Coturnix japonica: one gene and its partner. The protein of the gene in region 1 interacts with the protein of each later gene in a biochemical or structural test. Links are inferred from orthologs where the notes say so. Each region holds a gene or a part of one and is shown on either strand. Other genes may lie near its edges.

Region 1 (7,787 bases):
AGAAGAAAAACAAAGCCGTCAGGCTTATTTTTATCATCATGATGTATACTTTTTTTTCTGGGCACCGTAATAACATTTGTATTCTCTTGCGTGACTTCCAAGATTCATTTTCCATCAATAGTTGTGAAATCAGTGGCCAACTGCACAAAGCAACCAAGTGACAGAAACAATTTTCAATGATCCACTGCTGCATCAATCCTGTGATTTATGCCTTTGCTGGAGAAAAGTTAGGAAGTATCTTCGTAGCTTTTTCCGAAAGCAGATTGCATCCCACTTCTCTAAATACTGTCCGGTTTTCTATGCCGACACACCCGAACGGGCTAGTTCCACCTACACACAGTCTACTGGAGAGCAAGAAGTTTCTGCTGCGCTGTAAGCTGTGCCTTACAAAACAAAGCAAAACAAAGAGACAACAACTGGAATTGACTTTTCTGAATCTCAAGTCTAGACAAAGAGCCTGGGAAATCTCTTTCTGGATTGCTTGTACGTGCATCTGGCGAAAGGTCACTCGGCGCAACGATGTACACACGCAAAAGCTGTTTTATTTTTGTGACATCAAGATGTAATGGATGTATCAAATTAGCTATGCAGATATGGGAACATAGGATTCTGTGGCCAAAAAAAATGGGGAAAAAAAAGCTTTTTTTGTGTGTGTATGTGTATGTAGAAGCATAGTTATGTGCTATGGAGACCACAAACATACCTAAGCTGAGAGGTCCCTAACCTATGCGGAATTTCACAAACTGATCTTTTAGTGAACTGGAGATTAGAAAATGGTATCGCTCTTTGGAAACATCTCTTCAGCGTATTTTACACAAGATATTTCATTCATTTAAACTCCATCTCAGTCCCATCTTTTATTAGCCTGGTTGTGTGTAACTCTGTAAGTAACAGTAATTACTGAGGTTTGTGTGATGAAAAACTTATACAATTGTCAGGGGAAAACTATGAAATTGTTGAAAGTAACTGCCAGTATTCAAGGTATATTTTCCTGTGTGTATGTGAAAGGACTACCAGCCTTTCAGATCTTACTTCTAATAATCTAACACAGTCTGAGCTACTAAGTGTTGCCATCTCAGTTAATCAAGGGCTTGATATTTCAGAATGCTCTTTTAATAAACTGTGGTTTTATATACTACTTGTATTAACAACAATACAATGGTCAATCATTGATCAGTAAAATCAATGTGTTTAGAATATTTTAAAAATAAAGTACTATAGACAGAACTTTAACCAGGTTAGATCAAGAGCAGATAATCACAAAATCACAGAATCACATAATGTCCCAGGTTGGAAGGGACCTCAAGGACTCAAATGAAGTTCCAACCTCCCTGACCTGGCAGGGCGCACCAAACTTCCGATGTCTACTAGAATCAGGTCTGCCCAGCGGCCCGCATCTAACCTGGCCATTGAACAACCTCTTAGTGGAACGGAAGGCATCCACAACCTACTCTGGGTAGCCTGTCTAGGACCTCACTACTCTCCTTATACAAGAACTCTTCCCTACACATCCAGCCTAAATCTTCCCTTTCAAATTAAAACCATTTCCCCTGTCCTGCTGTCAATAGGGCTCCTTTGGGCTTCTTAGTGCAGTGATTTTGTTTGCCATTTTTCTAGTCTATGTAAAATAACAACTTTAAAATGTGTAACTAATGCAACTGTAATGGCTGCAAAAACACCACAGCATTAAAGGTGTGAAAATGTTTGACCCAGATCTTTTTGAAGATAAGAATACGCTATAGACATTTTTCACAACAAACACACACACAGAGTAAAAGGACTCATCCACAGAGCCAAAAACATATAGCATGTCTCTTGCTTCTGAAGAAGGCATAATTTGGGGGCAATTACTGTGGTTTTTTTTCTTCCTGCTTTGTGGGAGTTTTATTCAAAGCAAAAGCTTCCATAATTCTTCCATATTTAGCAAGGCTGATGCTCAACTATAACTGGGCTTTCCCTTAAAGTTCAGATCTTTCAGAGAGCCTGAACACAGAAAGCGTGAAATAAAGGGGGTACTCAGGTAATTAAGTTCATACTTTTGTCACAATACACATTGTTTTAGATCATGTTTGTATAGCACTCTTATATCATTTCCTAATACTTTTGGTTTTGGACAACTCTGGAGATAGGAATATAAAAGTGAATATTTTAATGGCTGTTTTTATCCAGTTGGGTAACATCTGTTTCCCAGGTGCTCTGGAAAGCCTGTCTTTAAAATAAGTTTTACAAATAAATAGTTCAAAGAGTCTCAAAGAATGTTACGTTGGCCAAGTGCTTTTGGAAAGCCAGGAAGTGAAATAGGGAAATATTTGCTTATCAGGCACTGGTTATTGTGGTTTTGTCACATTAAGCACTACTTTTGGACTACTTCCACATGGGGAACATAAAGCCATACTACACTTTCAGAAGTTGGTTTTTTTTTAAGACACATGCAGCAATTACTACCACCACTATAAGCAGAAATTGGGTAATTTCGGTATAGAAAGACAAACATTTGCATTCCTTTTTTAAAGAGACAGGAAGCTACATGCAGTAACAGCAGTAACTTTCTCCTTGAAGAATTACTTTGCACGAGCAAAGAGCAAGAAAACAAATGTGCAAGTGTGCACTGACAAGGTTTTCTGAGAGGTATGTAACAAGAAGAGCCCCAATTCTTTGCAGCGTTGTCTCCTACAACATGGATCTTTTCAAGGGACAAGCAGTTTCCCTAGCACAGAGCTGAAATTAAGAGATCTTGACCTAACAGACCAGCAGCTTATCAAGAAGTTAGTCACTTTATAGAGTCACTGAATGGTTGTGGGCTGGTAAGGGACCTTTTCAGCATACAATCTGTTCCAACCCCTAAGCAATTAGGCAGGGACACCAGTGCCCTGCAGTGGCCAAGAAGGAGGCTGCCTGTCCCTTAATGTACCTCCTATTCAACAGACACGCATTTTCACAGATCACAGACTGACCTGAGTCTGGGAAGGGAACCTCATAAAGGATCATGTAGTTCCCAACCCCCGTGCCCTGGCAGGGCCACAATACATACCATTTGATCTAGATCAGGTTGCCAGGCCCCCGTCCAACCTGGATCTGAACACCCCAAGGACGGGGCATCCACAACCTCCCTGGGCAGCCTGTTACAGGGCCTAACCACTCTCCTAGTGAAGAACTTCCCCCTAACATCCAACCTAAATCTTCCCTCTTTTAACTTACAACCATTTCCCTGTGTCCTGCTATTGTCAGCCCTTTTGAAGAGTTTACTCCCCTAAATTTTGATGGAGATTTCATTTGTTTTTGTGCATTACTAGAGATGGGAAGACTGCTATTTCTCAGGTTGTCCGTTAACTCACTCAGATCCTACGAAGTTAAGTTTTTATTACGTTTAACATCTGCCCCCATAGCGGGAAGCCGACTTCTGAGCAAACCCTCAACCTGCTCAGTTCTTAGGTGACGGGTGCCATCTCGTGGCCAAACGGTAACGCTTCCAGCTGCCATTCGCAAGCAATACTTCCTGTCGCCGCCCTTACAGGCAGTACGGAAACAAAAATAAGCCTTAACTAAAGAGCGGACGCCAATTGAGACTCATGACAGGGAAGGAGGAGCGTGAGGGGGCATCCGCCTGCCAACTATTACTCTCCACACAGCTCCACGCCCCCTGGCCTCCGCGTATGCGCAGTGCGAGTCGGCGTTTTCCCGCCTGCCGTGGTGGGGGTGGGTGCTGTGTGGGGTGTCAGGGAGCGTGGTTGGGGCAGTGTCCCACCGGCAGCACCGAGTACATAGCGGTGTTAGGGTTGGCGAGAGAGTGGGAGCTTTGCATTGTGAGTTTAGGGTGGTGGCTGAGCTTCAGTGTAAGGAGAGGCTCCGTAGGGACTCCCCCGCTTGGTGGGGGCTTCCCGGTGGGCTCGGTGTGGGGGATCTCACCGGGGTTTGCTTCTCAGTTAAAGGATGAAGGGCAGCAAGGAGCTGTTCTTGGTGAAATTCGTAAAGTCTTCTGGGAGCTCGGAGTATTTCTTGAAAGCTTTGGAGGTAGGTGCGAGCTGTGGGCCTGCTGGGTGTAACACTGAGGTGATCTCTGTGGTAGATGCAGCCTGCGTGTGTACATCTAAGAATAAAGCTGCATTTCCTTAACATAAGTATTCCACAGTAATTATATTGACCAAGGTGAACAAGTAACTCTGTCAAAACTTGCTGATATTGAACAAAATGCCAGGTAGGCCCGGAAGGTCCATGTGGTGGTTGCTTATCTGCCTTAATACTTAATAGGAAGAATATGGAGCTTTTCCCCACCTGGAGAGGTTTGGGGGAGCTGAAGGCACTGTATGACACGTTCAGTTTGTATGTAGTGTTTAAGTCTAAATACTGAGTGAAGCTGGGAGGTGACGGGGGCTCTTTAGATACCTTAGCTCTGTTGTGGGCTGTTTCAAATAGATGTGCTTGTGTAACATCCACAGTATTAACTATTTGTGGTTTATCAGTTAAGTAAATGTGGTTGTATGCATTGTTTTCCTGCAGTCTATAAAAGAATTTCAGTCAGAAGAACATCTCCACATTCTTGAAGAAGGAGCAGTGCTTGATATAAAAGAAAATGATAAATCCCTTTACATTTGTGATCCTTTTACTGGTGTTGCTTTCAATCATCTTAAAAAGGTATGCTACACATCAACTTATACCAGCTATACTCTTTTTTTTTCTAGAAGCTCTTATGGATGTTCTCAGACTCCTTTGTTTTTCTTCTTGCATTAAGTATAGTAGTATGCAGTATTCACAATGAAATCTTTAGAGCTTTGCTGCACTCTGTGTTTAGTGGTGAAGACAGCTAGTAAAGTGTAAGGATTATCATGAAGTAAGTGGAATGTATAGGATGTACTGTTTTTACCAAGGGTTCCTCAGGGACAAAGAAAACCTTCCTTGCTCCAGTGTACCTTCTGCTCATTCTCTTTCTTTTGTTTGTTTTCCATGTTATTTAATTGCAGCTCGGTTGTAGAATTGTTGGACCACAGGTAGTCCTGTACTGCATGCAGTCCCAGAGATGTGTCCCAAGAGCTGAGCATCCCGTGTATAACATGACCATGGCTGATGTAACGATATCCTGTACCACCTTAGATAAAGATGTCCGGGTAATGTATTGTACACAGTGGATGGTTGAGCAGGTGTTTCTGTGGCATGTGCTTCATTTATTGCTATGGCATCAGTTGTAGTATTTCACAGAATCACAGAATTGTAGGGGTTGGAAGGGACCTCTAGATCATTGAGTCCAACCCCCCTGCCAAAGCAGGTTCCCTACACCAAGTAGCAAGTGTAACTGTGCATAGTCTTTGTATGGTTTGTAGGGTAGTCATCATTTATGTAAAGAATTGTATAGAGAGAAAGGAAGCATTTTTATAATGTGTGATATACAAGCACGTATGTAGTGATGTATCTATATGTGCACATTTGCCTATATCATATAAGCATATGTAACACTGTAATGTCATTAACATTTGAGGATTTATTTATTGGCTAATGGATGTATGTGTTGGTCAGCTATCATGCTGAAGACAACATGTTACATTTCTGGCTTTTCAGTCTATGGTAAACATTAATTATCCAGCCAGCTGTGCTTTACGTGAGTTATGCTAAGGTTTTCTTTTGGTACACTCCAACAACTTATGTATGCTACCTGAAAGAACAGCCATCAATAAATCTTATTACTGATGGTAATATCATCTTTACTTAAGGTTATGTTTTTGTTTGCCATCCATGCAAATAAAATGGAATTGATATTTTTTATTAGTTTTCAGAAGAAACCACTGAAAATTGAAACTGATTTATTTTTGAGTGTGATGTAAGCTCCTAATTTATCTTTTCTTCTTTTGGTGATTTTTTTTTGTAATTTCTCTACTCAGGAGGAAGTTCATGAATATGTACAGATGATGGGTGGACGTGTGTACAGAGACCTCAATATGTCAGTAACTCATCTCATAGCAGGAGAAGTTGGCAGCAAGAAATACTTAGTAGCTGCTTCTCTGAAAAAACCTATTTTGCTTCCTTCTTGGGTTAAGGCACTGTGGGATAAATCTCAGCAAAGGTAATGAAAACAGAAACAAAGTAAAACTTAGTTTGTGTTGGGCTCTAGTGTTGGGCTCTTCTGGTTATACACGCTTCTTTCTTTTTCTAATTGATTTTACTGAGACAAAAATGCATATTTTTTCCCCCCTTTCGTTCTTTTAGCATGATGAGATACACTGATGTCAACATGGAAGATTATGCTTGTCCTGTGTTTCTTGGCTGTACAATTTGTGTAACTGGCTTAAGTAGTTCAGACAGGAAAGAAGTCCAGCGCCTCACGGCTGAACATGGTGGGCGCTATTCAGGGCAACTCAAGATGAATGAATGTACTCACCTCATAGTTCAAGAGCCAAAAGGTAAAACTTGCAGCATGCATTATTTTTCCTCCTTGACTTGAAGTAGTGTTGCTCTTGCTGCTTCTGTGTAGAGAAGTGGTGTTGATGGGAGGAGTGGCATGGGGCACTCTTACCTTGCTTTGAAGGTAGAAGAAAGAAAGGTGAACAAGAGAAGACAGAGACTTGAAGAAGAGCAGAAGAAAAAGGGAGAATTGTAGAGGGAGAGGATGAATGAAGAAAAACTATGTTTTGGGGAGAGTATGATAAGACTTCATTTATATGCTGCTTGGAATCTGATAGTGAATTAATGATTTTTAAAATTTTTTTAACTGACCAATCCTTTATACCTTCTGAACTCCCTGTAAGATGAAAGCTTTCTTCCCTTGTGGAAGGGGGAAAGGTTTGTACTTTCTTTGAATGAAGAAAGAAGTTTCATATTTTTTAAGCTGGTACAATGAAATTTCTGTGATGAGACAGATAAGTCTGATTTTTGAATGTGCTGGTACCGGCTCTGTATTACAGTTTATTCAGTTGATAGAGCGAGATAAAACTGACTACTTCTTGTAGGAGGAATTTATCAAAAGTGTATGTCAAGATGACATACTGTTAGCAACACTGTTAGTGCTGGGAACCCTTGATTAAAGATCTGCAGAGGACTTCTTCATGCTTTACTGCTTTATAAGGTTTTGGTGCCCTGTGATGCAGTACCCATGAACTCACTGTCAAGGAGATTTTACTCTGACTTTAAATAAAGGCAAGTAAATAGCAGCTCATTAGATGAGTTCTGTATAGTCCAACTTGCACCTCAAAATCAGTTATTTGAGCTTTCAGATTTTAATGTCTTTGAGTAACATACATTTTTTACATTTTATTTACCCTTGAAAGGTCAGAAGTACGAATGTGCCAGAAAATGGAATGTCCACTGTGTGCCTGTGCAGTGGTTTTCAGACAGCATTGAGAAGGGCTTCTGTCAAGATGAGACAATGTATAGAATAGAAACTGGATCAAAACTAAGTTGTACACCCAGTACCTCAACACCCACCAACAATGCCAGCAAGCTTGACAGTAAGTAAGACCTTTTAAGATGCACTTCAGGTAAGGTATTTGGAAGAGTAAGAAGGAGGAACTGTTTGAAATTAGTAGAGTGCTCTCTATTTTTGTAGTGATCATATTTTGAAATTTGGTTTGTGTTTTGCTTATGCAAAAAACTGCCACTGATCACTTTCAGGTATGTTAGGTATTGCAATGAATATGGACTTGAATATGAATAGAAGTTTAATAGTTAATCTAATTTAGGTGTACTTATCTGCTTAAGAATCACTGGTTTGTATTGTTAAGTCCTAAAAGTACAGGGCTAGTGTCTGTTGTGAATTAAATCATACCCCTGGAGGGAAAACAAATACTGTTTTTCATGTATTT
Region 2 (6,087 bases), on another chromosome or scaffold:
GTGCGGTAACGACTAGTGAGAGCCATGGGAAGCTTTGAGAGCAACGTCTCAAAAGGAAAAGGAGAAAAATCACAAAACAGAGACCGGACAACAATGAAAACCAAAAGTCCAAAGCACTTTGAGCAAGTCTTTATTATTCTACTCGGCCAACTAGAAAGAAGATAGACAAATCCCCCAACCCCTGTCAGAACATTGGGGCGTGATGAAACGCGGCTCCAAATGAACACGTGCCTTGAAAAAGGTAAAAAATACTTGAGTGATTTGTGCCCTGCAGCCAAACTGGAATGACCCTGAGAAAAGTCTGTGCAGACAAGTCAGTGGAGATCGATGTGCAGCTCCTGGCTTCTGTGTTAATCCCCTTTGTGTTATTGCTTGCAAATGGAGTTTGGTTTTGTTGTTTTATTTCAAAAACAAAGTGTTCATCTGGACTACAAATCCACCATGAGTCGCTACAACGTGGCTTTTTATTACAAATACCAGAATCGCCTCGAAAATAGAAATGTGTAAAACAATCAGCCGTCTGTACAGTGCATTTACAGTACATGGTCCAGAGGAACACGCGGATCCAAGACCCGCTTTAGCCCTTGGCCACACAGCATTGGCAGTACGATACAACCCGAATGCCACAGGGTGAAACTACCATTAACTACTCGTTAAAAAAAACACCAATCGAGAGACCTCGGTTACAATGGAGTTTATCACACAACTGGGATACGTACAATAGCTGTACAAGAAACAGCAGCTTCTAACTAGAAACAGTCATCATGTTGTAACTCTCGGACGGGCTGGACCGGCCAGTTCTCCACTTCTTACAGCTGTTCCTGCTCTCCAGGGGTTTACTCGCCTTGGCCCCGGGCTGTGGATTCTCATAGAGGACGCAGATGGAGCCGTCCTCTCCTATCCGATACGACACCTCGAAAGGGTCGACCCAAAGAGTCAATTCGTTGGGCAAGAGCTGGAACAGTCTCTCGTGGCTCAGTCCGATGGTCGCCGCCGCTTTGCCGATCAGCGGGTCCATCTGGTGGTTGATCCTAATGCACCGATACCCGGAGCCTTTGGTGGGCGCCGTGGGGAACCAGTGGTGCCTGTAGTGTTCTACGGGAGGGAACAAAGAGCGGCGTTAGTGTCAGCGTTACAGCCCGTCCGTGCGCCGCGGGCTCGGGCCGGGCCGTGTCCCCCCGCTCACCGCGCAGCGCCTCCTGCAGGCGCTCCCTGAAGCACCGCAGCTGCTCGTCACCGATCCCGCCGGCGGCCCGCAGGAGCCGGGTGACGAACGCCGCGGCCGTCGAGATCTCGGTTCTCATGGCCGCTCGGCTGCCGCTCGTCGCCGTTCCGGCCCGGCCCGCCGCTACCGCACCGCACCGCTCCGCCCGGGACAACGCTCCGGCCAATGGCGGCGTCGCGCAGCGACACGTCACAATGACGCGTCCCGCCCCGCGCCCCCCTGCGACGGCAGAACAGGATCCCCATTGGTCGAGATGGGCGAGGGGCGGGGCTTACGGGACACCGCGAGCGGCCATTGGGCGGCGCAGGAGACGGGCCGTGTTTGTTTTGCTGCTGAGCGGCGCGGTGACACGGAGTAACGGGACGGGGTGTGTAACCATGGTGACAGCTTGGGGCCTTGAGCGGCCGCCCGACTGCTGCTGCTATTGGGAACCGGAATCACACCAACACTATCCAGGCTCCGAGCTGTCCCCGTCAGGGCTGTGCGTCCATGTTAGTGCGGCGTTACGGGAGCTCACAGCTGGGGAACGTCACGGAGCAGCGGCAACAAGTGACGTAGTATTTCCGTATATCGAGTATTGCCGCACGGCATGGCGCGGTGTGACGTCACTACGTCAGCGTGGCGTCACTACGTCGGTGTGACGTCACTCATCCCACCGCCCTGCCCATCCAATCAGCGAGCTGCTCACAGCGCGTCACGCGGCGACCAATGGCGGCGGCGCTTGACCCTCGGGGGCCGCCTTAGGTGCGGTCTGCCATTGGCCGGGCAGGAGGAGCTCTCGCCGCTGATTGGCCACGGTTCGTCGCGCGGGTTCCCGTCCGTCGCGCGGCGTAGCGGTGCTGCCGCCATGTCGTTGCAGCTGCCGTTCGTTCCGCGGAAGCGCAGCGGTACCGACATGTGCGGGCCGGGCCGGGCGGCGGGACCCGCTGCGGACAGTGCGCTGCGGAACGGGATCCCGCCCAGCAAACGGCACAAGGGGCCGCCGGGGAGCGGGGCGGAGGAAGATCCTTTCGGGGACAACGACGACTTCACGGCGGACGATCTGGAGGAGATCGACACCATCGCTTCCCAGGCGCTGTGTGAGCCGCTGTGTCCGGGTGTCACCGCGCCGGGCCCGGCCCCGCACAGCGCTCAGCTCACAGCGCCCTTCCAGCTGCAGGTGCTGCGGGCACAGCACGACGATACACGGAGGAAGGTCAGAGCACATGGGAATATAAGGGGGGATCGGCCGCGGTGCTGGGCCGGGAGGGTCGGGATCCGCGCTGGGAAAGGCTCTGAGTGGGAACGGCACAATGAGTTTGCGGGGTGTGGTGCCACCATTGCCCAGCAGCGGGTGCTCATCTGTCGGCTTTCATCTGTCCTGTCAAACCCGGAGCAGCGCTGTGTCCTTCATGGTTTGAAAGAAGAGCATTTAAGGGGATGGGGTCACTGAGCCTTGTGGAAAGGCACCGCTTAGACCACACCATCATCACCTTAAAGGCCCTTTAAGGCCTTTACTTTAAGGCCCTCCAACCTTCTGCAGTGTGCAGGGACATCACAGCTCTATCGGTGCTCACAGCCCGCTGGGTGTCTGCAGGGATGAGGCACCACCACCTCTCTGGGTAACCTGTGCCAGTGCCTAACCACCATCACTGCAATAACTTTATGTCCATTCTAAATCCCCCCTCCTGTAGCTGGAAACCATCTCCCTCAAAAAAGGGATGGAAGCAGTGCAGAAAAGCCCACCGTCAGACACCAAAACACTGTAATTCTATTAGAGAATGTCACGGAGCCTGATTTAATAAGGAAAAGAAATAGAAGCCAGACTGTGGGATATCTAAACTGAGCTGTAGCAACACACTCCATCTTTGACCACATAGAGAGCAATACAGATACTAAATGCTGAATGTGCTGCTTAATGGAATTCATCTCTTTGCAGCTGAAAGAAATGCAGGATGAAATTCTTACTAAAAATGGAGAAATCAAAGTTCTGCGTGACTGGATGCAGCAGATGGAGCGTGAGATGGAGGAGCAGAAGAGGTCGTACGTGCTGTTGGAACAGCAGCAATCTCAGGCCCTTGGTGAAAAAGAAAGAGAGTTCTCCAAAAAGGTTTGTAGCTCAGTCAGTCACCTCAACACAACACACAGAAAGAAGCCTGCAACCTTGAGATCTTACAGACATTTGCTTTGCAGTTGGATTAACACTTGCCTATTCTGTAACAGTAAAACCATCTCCTTAATTCTTCCAGTTACTGTCACTGCAGTCAGAGTTGCAGTTCAAAGATGCAGAAATGAATGAATTAAGAACGCGACTTCAGAACTGTGAAAGAAATAAGCACGTCACTCAGACGGTTGTGCCACAAAGGTGTGTATGGGGGTTTGGGGAAATAACCTGTGTTTCTTTTTGTTCACACTTGAATTAGGACAGATGTTTCCTGTCTCTGTGTGACTCTTAGGTCCATTTCCTTGAGAAAATACAACCAAAACCATTCTTTTGACCTAAACAGATGCTGGGACAGAAATGCAGGGGATGTAGAGTGAAGTACCTCTTTAACATCAGTACCAAGAAAGCTATTAAATAGATCTGTAATAAAATAGAAATAGATCTTTAATAAAATGCTCCCAAAACAGACATTGGTTCATTGGAGCTGGAGGGGAATTTGTTGGTATCTTGTTGTTTTCGTTTATTTTTTGTAGCCCTAAAAAGAACGTTGCAATCCAGATGAAATCAGAAGGGTGTCCTCCGCAGCCTGGAAAAAGGTCTTTTCCTACAAAAGAGTCTTTCAATGCTGAAACTGCTGCCAGACCCTCTTCTTCTTCTTCAGGAAACTGGTTTGCACAGACAGTTTCCAGCAAGGAAGGTAAACATGAACACAACTTGCAGTATTTTTAGCTGCTTGTGAACATTCTGCCTTAGATTCAGGTTTTGGCCCAGTGTGACCCAGCAGTTCCAGTAAGGTCAGGGCAGGAACAAGGGTGGTTCTTTCGGTATGACATTGCTTACATTCCATACAGCTCCACCTCAGGTTTGCAGGAGGATGGCTTTGCAGTGAGCTGAATGCCAGGGGAGCAGGGTGGAGGTGTCTGCTGGCTTTGGTGAGAAACTTTCATTTATATGAGCTGCAGGATCCGAACTGTTCTCTGTGTTTCTCACTCAAGAAGGAACAGGAAATAATTTGCTTATTTCTTGAATAGGTCTACCAGTCAGCTAATGCGTTTTTTATACTCCTGAGGTTTGGGTTTTGATAACCGTTCTCTGTTTTTGGTATTTTATTTTAAATGGTGCATGTTCAGCCATGTTAAACGAGCAGCTGCAGGGCTTCACTCGTTTCCTCCTTTCTGCGTTGAACGGTAAATCTCATACAACTGTACCTTCAAATTCATTGAGTAAAGCCTGGGAAACATATGTATGCATTTACTGTAATACGAAATAAAAACTGCTTTTTATAGCAGCCAATTACTGTGTTGAGACAGTACATTGCCAGTAGGAAAGAATGGGAGAAATTGGGAGGAGGTGTCCCTGCCTGTAGCAGAGGGTTGGAACTAGATGATCTTAAAGGTCTTCCAACCCAAACCAATGGAACATCTGAGGTGTTTCTGTCGGCTGCAGTATTCTATCAGAAACTGTCTGGGCCACGTGTAACAGCAACCTTAGAAGAGTTCCTGTAGTTACTTTTTCAACTCAATAGTGTTTGACACTGCGTCTGTGTTTGTACCTCACAACAGCTATGGCTAATTGAAGGTGTGTAGATGACAGGTGCAGATGTATAAGCAATTATTTCTCGTATTTGAAACATATTCTCTCTTTGTTTTAGACAGTAAGATGCCCCATCCTGAGTTCTTAGCCATGAAGCAAGAAGCAATGGGAAAAAATGGTTCCTGCAATTCTGTACGCCAACAAAACATTCAAGGTAATGTATTTCTGGTAATACAGAAATGGATCAAGATGTAGATCGAGAGGCATCTTTCTACCAGGCTTGGCTGTATTAAGATACTGTGCTGTCTGTTGTGAGGAGAGCAGGGAAAATGTCTATTTATTGTTTCTAAAAGTGAAAAGAGCACATCAGCACTTAGTGTTCAACACGTTATTTCCAGTTCAGAATTGTATCACATGATTTTAATGTCCAGACTGGAACATGGATGTCAAGGCACCAGGATGACTGTGTTTTAATAATCACTTGGATTGAGATGGCTTGCTTATAAAGGGACTGTAGTTGAGATCTCTCTAAATATACCTTGATTCACATTTAAATTGTGTTCTGTGAGGTTTTACGAAGCGATGCATTTCAGATATTATTTTCTTCCTGTATTCTGTCTCGTAAGAGAAAGGAAAATTGATGATGGGGAAAAAATGATTTTTGAGGTTGAGATCACTATTGGTGAGGTAAATCTATTGAAATACTTTGCTGTTGTTGCAGGGGATGGAAAAGCCACTTCAAAGACAATCTCTCCAGGTTCTGCCTTACTGAGCGCCCTGCTGAAGCAGCCCCTTGTCTCTGGGTCCCTGCTGGGACTTTGCCATCTTCTCAGCAGCAACGCTGAGGCTCTGCCAGGAGCTGTGCTGCAGCCCGACCTTGTGGAGACGTAAGGACTGTGTTGAAATGCAACTGATGTGTTCCCAGTATTGTGGCATACTCTGAGAAAGGCGTTCTGTGCAGGACACCTCACTGCGTGTGTTCAGTGCCTTTTGGCTGAGGCCATTTGAGGCAAAACTCGGAACATCCTTCTGCATTTTGGTCATCCATCTTTGGTTATTGTAGGTACTGAACACAGGAGAAACACTAAAATGGAAAGCAGGTTAATTACGTATTAGGGGAAGGCACAGAAATTAGGAAAACTTAGAAGTGACTATGAACTGCTGCCCTTTTTAAGGATATATTTGT

The links. The genes of interacting proteins can lie anywhere in the genome.
Region 2: the proteins of TOPBP1 (region 1) and ATRIP form a complex in vitro, tested with the Homo sapiens proteins (2 studies listed by BioGRID). The link is inferred for Coturnix japonica from reciprocal best matches to the Homo sapiens genes TOPBP1 and ATRIP.

Annotation. Positions count from the first base shown.
Region 1 is NC_029517.1:39,236,406-39,244,192, reverse strand, and holds the start of TOPBP1 (DNA topoisomerase 2-binding protein 1), read left to right. Parts: upstream 1-3,478; 5' UTR 3,479-3,517; intron 3,518-3,538; exon of another isoform or gene 3,539-3,923; 5' UTR 3,924-3,930; coding exon 3,931-4,011; intron 4,012-4,497; coding exon 4,498-4,632; intron 4,633-4,958; coding exon 4,959-5,102; intron 5,103-5,870; coding exon 5,871-6,052; intron 6,053-6,195; coding exon 6,196-6,389; intron 6,390-7,253; coding exon 7,254-7,433; intron 7,434-7,787. UniProt on the Homo sapiens protein: Scaffold protein that acts as a key protein-protein adapter in DNA replication and DNA repair. Composed of multiple BRCT domains, which specifically recognize and bind phosphorylated proteins, bringing proteins together into functional combinations.
Region 2 is NC_029527.1:2,066,442-2,072,528, reverse strand, and holds the start of ATRIP (ATR-interacting protein), read left to right. Parts: upstream 1-1,411; 5' UTR 1,412-1,814; coding exon 1,815-2,420; intron 2,421-3,143; coding exon 3,144-3,314; intron 3,315-3,453; coding exon 3,454-3,569; intron 3,570-3,901; coding exon 3,902-4,065; intron 4,066-5,019; coding exon 5,020-5,115; intron 5,116-5,622; coding exon 5,623-5,788; intron 5,789-6,087. Other genes in the region: protein BTG1-like, read right to left, coding at 746-1,095, 1,187-1,304. UniProt on the Homo sapiens protein: Required for checkpoint signaling after DNA damage. Required for ATR expression, possibly by stabilizing the protein.